Schizosaccharomyces pombe: one gene and its partner. The protein of the gene in region 1 binds, or shares a complex with, the protein of each later gene. Each region holds a gene or a part of one and is shown in the gene's direction. Other genes may lie near its edges.

Region 1 (5,039 bases):
TATCCTTTAATGAAAAAAGGAGCGTCTAAAACCATTGTCTTTACTTCATCATCAGTAGCATCCATGGGAGCTTTTTTTCCAATAACTGTTTCAGCTTATGGTCAGTCTAAAGCAGCTCGATGAAGGAAATTAGTTTTGAACTAGCTGATGAAGGCTTTATTGTAATTTCAATTCACCCAGGACTTGTACAAACCAAGATGTCAAAAGAGTCCAGTGAGCATTTTTCCAAACAACATCCTGTCATGTTAGAATACTTTCAAAAAAATTCCATTCCTCCCGATCAAAGTGCTGCACAAATGTTAAAGGTTGTAGACGACTTGAAACCCGAAAACAGTGGATCTTTTCGTACTCATGACGGTTTTGATATCCCCTTTTAAAGGTACTTTGCTCTCTAGATTCCAGTGTATGATTTGTTCAAACAATTGTTTTTTGTTAATTTCATATGTTCTTACAAATGTTTACGAGCATAAAAAGTTTGAGCGAGTCCAAGGTGCCACTTGGATTGTTCAGCAGTTTTAGATCTTGATACGTTTTATTCAACCTTTGGATATATAAAGAAGGGCGTCGCATATAAAAAATTCAAGTGTTCATACAGCAATGCTTAAATCGGTTGCAAACTTATATTTTATCTTAAAATTATTCTATTTCTATGTTTTTTTTGTTTAATAATTTTTATTGTGAAAGGACTTCAAGGTTTAAAAGAGTTGTTTTTTTGTATCCTGATTCAACGCTTTTCTCCTATGGCCAATGTCTCAGCATTATCAATTAAACAATTTTCAAATAAATTCTCCCTTTATGATACTTTATCAAGGAAATTAAAAGAAAGGTGCATTTAAAGGAATACTATTCAGTATGCAAGCAGTATCAAGGAAGCAGCTGACAAACCAATGGAACGGGTTATAAAGATTAGTTGCAATATCCATATTATATGGCAAAATATCACCTAACGCTCTACGTGAACTACTATGAACCTGCTGATTTTGGAAGTATATTCAATTATGTAAGCATCAAAATTCACGGTTCAAATCACGTAAGCATAATGATTTGAAGAATTGGTATATAAGCACGAAGTTAATGATAAATTGCCGACACCAAATTACACTTTTCAAACGGATTCAAGGATCATTCAAATATTGTGTTAGAATATGTCTACTACCAACAAAATTTACTTTATTGCAGGAGGAAATCGAGGCATTGGACTCTCTCTTGTTAAGGAATTGAGCAACAGAGAAGGAACAGTTGTATTTGCAAGTGCCCGCAAGCCTGAAGCTGCTACTGAATTACAAGAATGGAGCAAGTCTCATTCCAATGTGCATATTATTAAGTTAGATATCTCCTCTCTAGAGAGTGCTAATGAAGCCGCTCAAGAAGTTGCAAAAGCTGTAGGTAAAGTAGATGTTCTTTGGGTAAATTCGGGCATTTTTCATTCTTTCAACACTGTTCTGAATACTCCTGATGATGTCTGGAACTCTCACTATAAAACCAATGTTTTAGGACCAATTCATGTCTACCAAGCCTTTTATCCTCTTGTGAAGAAAGGAGAATCTAAAATCATTGTTTTTACTTCATCATTAGTTGGATCCATGGGTGCTTTCTTCCCATTTAACCAATCTGGTTATGGCCAATCCAAGGCTGCTTTAAATTTTACAATGAAGGAAATTAGTTTTGAGCTACAAGATGAAGGATTCATAGTGATTTCAATTCATCCCGGAATGGTTCGAACCGATTCAGCTCAGGAAGCTGTAAATCAGCATGCTGAAGCGAAACCGGAAATTTTAGATATCTTTGCGAAACAGGCCTTGGCACCAGACCAAAGCGCTTCAGATATGTTGAAAGTTGTAGACAATTTGAAGCCCGAAAATAATGGATTTTTTTTCAACTATGATGGTACTACAATTCCATACTGATGGAAATTCACATCATTAACAAGTCATTCGGATTTGCTGTTAAGCTGCATCAATATTATATAACCGAATGATCGAAGGAACTTACAATAACCCTAAATATATGTTTTAATCCGCTTGTATATCTTTTTTAATAATTAGAGATGAAGGAGGTTATGTCTATTTTTTATGTTTCACATACGAGTTGTTTTTGCACAATGAAATTTGATGATCATATTAATTGTACATTGCATGCATTATTAATGAAATAGAAATTTTTATTAAACAACGGTTATGTTTAACTAAACTGCTCTGTAAGTTCTTCGTACTTTCGCATAAAATACTTAACAATGGTTATGTTTTCTATTGTTTACCGAATAGTGAGGCATTGTTTAGATGTGCCTTCAGTATTTATATTTACTGCATTTTAATCCTTATATGTTTGAATCAAATAGGTGTTATTACCTTAGAGCACGAAAAGCGATATAAAATAGTCAAGCGTATCCTTAATTATCCGAACTCTACGAAACCTTTCTTCACCTACGCTGTTCTTGGCAATCGCTTAGACGCGTTTCACTTCGAAATGTCAATCGTGAATATCCTTAGTGTTAATGTGCTAAATAATCCGGCAAAGTTCTCTGATCCATATAAATTCGAAATTACCTTTGAATGTCTGGAGCCGTTAAAAAGCGACCTGGAATGGAAGTTGACATATGTAGGTAGTGCGACGTCTCAAAGTTACGACCAAATTTTGGACACGCTACTAGTGGGACCTATACCAATCGGGATTAATAAATTCGTTTTTGAAGCTGATCCTCCTAATATCGATCTTTTACCTCAACTCAGCGATGTTTTGGGTGTCACAGTTATTTTACTCTCTTGTGCATATGAGGATAATGAGTTTGTTCGAGTAGGTTATTATGTCAACAATGAGATGGAGGGCCTGAACCTTCAGGAAATGGACGATGCAGAAATTAAAAAGGTCAAGGTTGACATTTCTAAAGTCTGGCGCAGTATTTTAGCAGAAAAGCCAAGGGTGACTCGATTCAACATTCAGTGGGATAATCCCGACTTTGACGATGCTCCACCAGTTCAGCCTGACGCGGACGAAGAGGAAGAAGAGGAGGAAGCTGATGAAATGGAGGAAGAATTCGATGAAGAGGGAGAAGGCGATGAGGAGGAGGAGGAGGAAGACGATGGAGACGGTGATGGAGAAGGTGATGGTGATGGAGAAGGAGAAAATGATGGGAAAGGATCGGAAGAAGAAGAAGAAGAAGAAATTGATATAGAGGAAGAAGAAGAAGAGTCGGCTCTTGCAAATGCTTCAGCTGCGGAAGAGAAACCTGAGGAGAAACCAGAGACGTCTCAGTAAAATGATAATCGGACTATTTTTTGAATGCTAATACTAATATTGACAAGAACTAATCCGATAAAGAACATGATTACTTTTTTGTATACTCTCTTTTAGTTTGCGCATATATATCGCTCTACCCGTTATTTTTTCGATGTAAAATATTCATGACTGGTGATAGTGTGAGAATAAAAACTATGGAATGGGAAAAGAGGAATAGCATTTTTTTTCCTGTTACCATAAAGCATTTTTCATAACACATCTTTTATTTAAATTCATTTTTGAACCGTCGACCTTTCCGTTGCATAATGGAGGGAAGAAGCATCTATTGTATGCCTCTTCCAATCGCCCTAAACGCATCATTTGTACCAACGTTCCATATTTTGGAACGGAGTTCTATTAGATTATTATTTTCTTTTTTTCCCATGTAAATTGTTGAAAGACTTTCGCATCCTGGTGTATGAAGTGTGCATTTCATGTTTTTCAAAACATAATTAGGGCACAGACGCAAGCTTTCTCTCCTCGATTTATCCTTACGGGACGGGATCTTTTTCCAGTTTATTAATGTGTGGATCCATTATTAGTATGTTCCATATTTAACTTATTCATCCAAAAGACAGCAGCACTCATTCTAGTTTTCGCCCTATGTATATTTGTTTATTGCAAGACCCATCAGTTGCGTACTCCAATGTAATCCGTTCGCTAATAAAACGTATTATGACATAAAACGCTATTTAAATATTGCGTATAGCAATACTCAACTCAATTAAGGATAATGTCTCTTGCAGTGGCCTCTTTAAATTGAGTGACACCCCTAAGTCACAGCAATGGGAAATGACATGTATTGACGCTACGCTGGTAAGACACTTCCCAACCTCCCATTTTCCGCAAAAAAACAAAAAAAGCGCATTACTCAATGAGTACAGATTCCTTGCCAAGAAGTTTGATGGAGCAGTAAGTGGTTTTGCTAGTTCTTTGCTAAATTGATAGGAAAGCGATGGAATTGCAACAGCAATTGCAAGGTACGATGGCGGTGCGTTTTGGAGAAAGAAAAGACTAACAATTGATAGCTTTGTTGGATGAGATCGATCAAAACAAACAGGAATCTGAAAACATTAGTCGAGAAAGCGAGTATCTGTGCCAATACATCGGCAGCATGATGGCCTTTCAGAATCGTCAGACTGTTCCCAAGAAGTAAAGTCGTTTAACCCTCTTTATGAAGCAACACTTGTACAGAAAGAGTTGTTGATGCACCATTGAATTGATTAATCGCTTTTTTTGATGTTTTTTGTATGATTCGTTCGATGAAGAAGAAAAAAAAATAAGGTTCGTTTGGATAGATGCGTAAGAACGCTGTTAAAACTGCGAATTCTCAGAAAAGTTTTTGGACGAATGACTGGATTACTTTAAGTGTTTGTTTTCCGTTGGATGGATCAGCCCTTTAGCGGCCTTTAGCATTTTTTTACGTAGAGAAATTCCCTTGTACTGGTCGCTGTTGGTTGGATTGATCCATCCCTCGCTTTCCCCATCGTATTATAAAACACGTTGGCTTTACTTTCTGATTGCCCTCTTGAGTTCCCCACACGCCTTTCGACCCACATACCTTTTCGAGTTGTCTAATTAATATCGTTATTAAAAGACATGAATTATTGCAATTTTGTTTATCTCCTTTTTCATTGAGCGAAGAAAAAAAAAAGAAAGACCCTCCAATTATCATTTAAAACTTATTGCGTCTCGCTCAACCTTCATTGCAAGTGGGTAGGTGGGCTTTGAACACCTTCACGCTTTATTCTCTTGTTTCTGAC
Region 2 (5,140 bases), on another chromosome or scaffold:
CATCACCTACTCTGTCGTAAAGTGCAGAAGATCTGACTAGCTTGTCCTTAATATCTTCGAGTGACAGGGGTCCTTGTCTTAGCATTCCAATAGACATTTCTAAAGCATTTAAGGCCATTCTAGCATCTCCGTCTGTAATAGCAGATATGTAATCAATAATAGATGTTTCAACGTTGGGCATAGAAGATCCTAGTCGCTCACTTTCCAGTAAGCAAGCATGGTTTAATATTTTCTTAACATTATCACGCGTTAGTTTCTTAAGCACAAAAACGGGGCATCTGCTAATGAGAGCAGAATTTAGTCGGAAAGAAGGATTTCTACAATGTTAATCATGGTGGAAAACATTAGTGTTTAAACATACTCAGTTGTTGCGCCGATCCTAATTCAAAGGTTAGCATTTGTGATATTAGAATGCATCACTTACAGAGTAACTAGACCCTTTTCAACCATTGGCACTAGTCATGGTTAATTGAAGAGATAAAAAAATATCAAACTTACAAAATATATCCTGTTGCGCACGGTTGAAACGATGTACTTCGTCCAAGAAAATAATAGTCTTTCTTCCTGTCAAGGTGAGATAATTTTGTGAGTCTTCAAAGATTTTACGACAATCAGCAACAGTCGTCGAAGTCGCAGAAATTTCTATGAACCTTGATTTTGTTGTAACGGCAATTAGTCTAGCAAGCGTAGTCTTTCCAGTTCCAGCACTACCCCATAAAATCATGGAATTGCACCTATCTTGTTCAATCAGATTACGAATGATGCCTCGCTCACCAACCAGCTCTTCCTGACCAACATATTCATCTAGTGATTTGGGTCTTGCTCGTTCCGCCAGTGGTCGTGTATCCCGTCTTGTAAGTTTAGTTTTCTTTGTAGGGCTGGGTTCAGGCTCTATAAATTTTGTAGCGCTCTGGTGAGATGAGACATTTGTTTCTAAATGATGTTTATAGCGTTCCTTTTTAAAAAAGGGTGAAACAGGTTTCGAAGGGCCTGATGAGTCCGAATAATGTGAATCAAGGTGTGGATTAATGTCATTCATCGTAACTGTTTTCGCGCAAACAGGACATTGAACATGATCTGGTCCTGACATTCTGATTTACATAGATAAAAGTATGTGGTACGAAAGGTAAACAGATAAATCTGGAATGAAACAATAACACATACAAATGAGCGACCTTTGGCAAGAAAGTTTACAAAAAAAAGTAACGTTTAAGGAATTTTGATCATCAAAATTGCTTGTTGTTTATGACACTCTCAACAGCAATATAACAGAGCTGAACGGCATCGATTGTACAAAACCGTGAACCAAGTCGTCGCGTGTAGTTAGGGAATTATACGATGAAGTAAGAGGTTATAATAATATCAAAGTATTTGTTTAAGCTAAAAATATTACTTACAAGAAAAAGTTAGATTTTAAATTCATATGTGTTATTATAGTTGACAGTTTTTATACGCAATTTCACCGCCTAAATGATAAGATATTAAAAAAAAAACAATAGAAATGATGAGTCTATGGAAGATAATAAAATGTCTAAAAACCAAAATGATGTTGATCCAAGACTTGTAAACTACGCGTTTTAAACCCTCAAATTTTGTACTCTATTATATGAAATACTCTGTTTTTAAACCAAGGGGAAAGGATGCAATTTCAACTGTGAAAGTCCATAATATTTATAAGAAATCGAACCTTATAAACTTACCTAACACTAAACATAGTAATCGCACGGCTAATAAGAAGACTATTGTGCAAACTAAAGGGCTTTAAATAGATAAAAAAAAATAGAGTATAACGGGCACTCAGCATATAATTCAAAATTTTTCCTCCAACTACTAATGCTGCTTGAACATTGAACCCAAAGCAAATTGACAAATAATAGAAATAACAACAATATTAGAGAGTTCATAAAAAATTCTCTTTGAACTCTAAATAATATACACGTTAGTTCCGTACTCACGAAATTACTATTAGAAAAATTGTGCGAAGCGATCCTAGAGCACTAACGACGAAGAGGAACATGAGAGCGGAGGTTTTGCAGATACGATGGCATTATGATGCTAATGATGATCACACACCTATTTATTCAGTTGATTTTCAAAAGAACAGTCTTAATAAATTTGCTACATGTGGAGGAGACAGTAAAATCAGGGTAATGATTTGACATAAAACTATTTTTGCTTCAACTATTGTTTGTTGTAGTTTAAAAAAAAGAAAGAAAATTCCTTCAATTATACTAATATCCAGATATGGCAATTGATCACTTCGGAATCATCCACAAAAGTCGAATATTTGTCTACGTTAAGTCGACACACGCAAGCAGTGAACGTCGTTCGTTTCAATCCAGAAGGTATTCGCTAATAATTTTTTCCAATGCTCACATTAAAATAGGAAATATTCTTGCTACCGCCGGAGATGAAGGAACTATTATGTTATGGGTTCCAACTAACACTCCTATAACAACTTTGGCTGATGATGCGGAAGAGTTGGCTCTAGCTAAAGAATATTGGAAGGTCAAAATAGTTTGTAGGTCGATGGGTTCAGAAATATATGATTTATGCTGGTCGGTTGACAGTAATTTTCTTATTGCCGGCGCCATGGATAATAGTCTTCGGTTGTACGATGCTCACACAGGTATGAATTGGCAGTTGTTGTTATTGGCAATATTTTTTTTTAAATTAAAATTACTGACTAAGAAGGGCAACTGCTTACTCAAAAATTCGACCATTCACATTACGTTCAAGGGGTATGTTGGGATCCTTTGAATCAATACATCGTTTCGGAAAGTAGTGATCGTTCTATATGTTTATACGAAATTCAAGAGGAAAAAAAGAATCCGAAAAAATTCCAACTCGTTTTAAAATCGCGCATCTGTCGTATTGAGTATAATGTAACTAAATTCGAATTAATATCTGTTACGAAGCCCTTAAATAATGATGAATCATCGGGGATATCAGAACCTATCGAAACTTCTAATAATAATGAGTCTCCCGTATCTAAGCACGAAGCTCTCTCATCAACTGCAAACATAGTCAAAGATGGAAGCTTAGAGCGAACAGAGCCTCCAAATTCTCTCAATTCAAAAATCAGTTACTCTTTGTACTGCAATGAAACTCTTGTTTCTTTTTTTCGTCGTCCAGCATTCTCCCCTGACGGATTACTACTAGTTACGCCTGCTGGTCGGCTTCGACCGCACGGTCAACCAAACTTTGAAGTTCCCTATACTGCTTATATTTATACAAGAGGGAGTATAACCAAACAGCCAGTAGCTTGTCTTAATGGATTCAAAAAACCAGTTATTGCGGTTCGTTTTTCTCCAATTCATTATGAATTGAACTCATTCTCTAACTTCTCTTTTACTTCTGTCTCTTTTAATCTTCCTTATCGAATGGTATTTGCTGTGGCATGTCAAGATGCTGTTTATATTTATGATACGCAAACTTGCAAACCATTTTATCGTGCAGTAAATTTACATTACTCTAACCTTACAGACATAGCTTGGAATGATGATGGAAATGTTTTGTTAATGACTTCTATAGATGGTTTTTGTTCTGTAATTACCTTTGAACCTGGAGAATTGGGTGTCAAAAGTCAACACAAAATTTCTTTGCCGGAGAAACGATCAGCTTCACCCTCTAGTATTGATGATTCACAAGACAATACGGCTGGGGGACCAGCTACTACAACACTAATTCCCAGAAAAGTTGAATCTTCAAAAGTATCAAAGAAGCGTATTGCACCTACCCCCGTTTATCCATAATTTCATGTTTATGAAAAAAGTTCTACTTCGACAATACGCTTTGATTTTTGGAGTAAAAATCTCGTACTTCTTGTTTTGTACTAGTAACTTTAAAGAACCTTTTATTTTTTTAAAAAAAAAAAAGAAGGCAAAACTGTACATTCTACTTTGGATGTAATCATTCGGTAATTTGCTTAGATATAAGCACAATTAAATTCATTACAATTGTTAAGATAAATATATAAAAAGCAAATAATACTTCTAATCGTTTGTACTTTTTGTCTACTTAAGACTATAAAACTAATATGTAACTTTTCTGTAAGTATAAAATACGTATTGAGGAACCCTCTTACACATAACATCACCACCATTCTATAGGAATTGCATCTTATACATTACTCATTGCATAGATTAAATTGCTAATAATCTACTTTTATTAAAAAAAGATTTAATCAGCTCATTTTCACGCTAGTTTTCCAAATTTACTGAAGTCTCATATTTTTTGCAAATATCTTCAAGTTTTGTTCATGAATGGTCGCCATTAACGACTCTACGGATTCTTCGTTTTTTAAAGAAAATCCTAAAATATTTAAGGATGAGCATGAGTTGTTGAGGTATATCGTTCCTTTCAAAAATTGGGTAATTGGAAGACCCGACAGAAAAGAATATGCAATTCGCAATGGAGCTCCAAAGCTGTTGCTTAATTTATTTTCCTTAGAAAATTTATCCATGAATGAAAAATATCAAGTTTTTGTTGTTTTAAACTCCTTGATGAGTGAGGACCAGGACCCTTTCGTTCAATTTTTACGACACGAGGATCTTCTTTCCGTTATGCAAATGATTTCGAAAAGGGATAGTACACCATATGGAATGCTGAATATCACCCTTAAAGTTTTTAACACAATGCTGAGTTTTGACAAAGCAGCAGAATATGTCACTCAGTTACATTCGGACTCTATAATTAATCAAATGTTTGACTTGTATACTTTACCCTTGAAAGAACAACCTTCTCTTGATGTGTTGCGTATCTCAAATTTATCTTCTAAGATTTTGCATCGTCTTATCCTTTATAACTCTAAAGTTGGAGACTCTCCACGATTCTGTTCTGCTTTATTTCAAATCACTAACAGAGCTACCCAATTGCGCTTGTATTCCAGAAGAAGATTTTGGAATGATTGCTCTATCTTAATTACTAACTCCCTGGGTACTTTGAATGCTTATTTAAAACAGCATGTGAAGTCTTATAAACAAAGAGAGAAAACCCGGCTAGAATCAAATGGTCACGTTTCGCCTCGCGATATGGATTTAGATGAAATTGAAAATGTTTTTGAGGGAAACAAGGATAAGGTCGCCTTATTTAAATCAGAGATATTTGGGCCTAATGGTGATGAATATATTACTCAGTT

The links. Proteins that work in one complex are often made in the same cells at the same time.
Region 2: the proteins of asf1 (region 1) and pcf2 are in contact, whole or in part, in a crystal structure (PDB 2Z3F), measured with the Schizosaccharomyces pombe proteins. Residues at the interface, in NP_588267.1 of Schizosaccharomyces pombe: Phe28 (codon at 2,548), Asp37 (codon at 2,575), Leu60 (codon at 2,644), Leu61 (codon at 2,647), Val62 (codon at 2,650), Gly63 (codon at 2,653), Pro64 (codon at 2,656), Ile65 (codon at 2,659), Pro66 (codon at 2,662), Gly68 (codon at 2,668), Ile69 (codon at 2,671), Asn70 (codon at 2,674), Lys71 (codon at 2,677), Phe72 (codon at 2,680), Val73 (codon at 2,683); in NP_594450.1 of Schizosaccharomyces pombe: Lys503 (codon at 3,723), Arg504 (codon at 3,726), Ile505 (codon at 3,729), Ala506 (codon at 3,732), Pro507 (codon at 3,735), Thr508 (codon at 3,738), Pro509 (codon at 3,741), Val510 (codon at 3,744), Tyr511 (codon at 3,747).

The regions. Positions count from the first base shown.
Region 1 is NC_003421.2:1,641,983-1,647,021, reverse strand, and holds asf1 (histone H3-H4 chaperone Asf1), read left to right. Parts: upstream 1-2,437; 5' UTR 2,438-2,466; coding exon 2,467-3,255; 3' UTR 3,256-4,120; downstream 4,121-5,039. Other genes in the region: osr1 (dehydrogenase), read left to right, coding at 1,146-1,907; SPOM_SPCC663.18 (GTPAse-interacting protein), read left to right, coding at 4,151-4,188, 4,225-4,256, 4,305-4,432. UniProt on the Schizosaccharomyces pombe protein: Histone chaperone that facilitates histone deposition and histone exchange and removal during nucleosome assembly and disassembly.
Region 2 is NC_003424.3:4,117,884-4,123,023, forward strand, and holds pcf2 (CAF assembly factor complex subunit B Pcf2), read left to right. Parts: upstream 1-1,990; 5' UTR 1,991-2,015; coding exon 2,016-2,147; exon of another isoform or gene 2,148-2,242; coding exon 2,243-2,345; exon of another isoform or gene 2,346-2,386; coding exon 2,387-2,629; exon of another isoform or gene 2,630-2,694; coding exon 2,695-3,755; 3' UTR 3,756-3,991; downstream 3,992-5,140. Other genes in the region: mgs1 (DNA replication ATPase), read right to left, coding at 1-317, 362-379, 425-455, 499-1,090; protein Gid5, read left to right, coding at 4,266-5,140. UniProt on the Schizosaccharomyces pombe protein: Acts as a component of the histone chaperone complex chromatin assembly factor 1 (CAF-1), which assembles histone octamers onto DNA during replication and repair.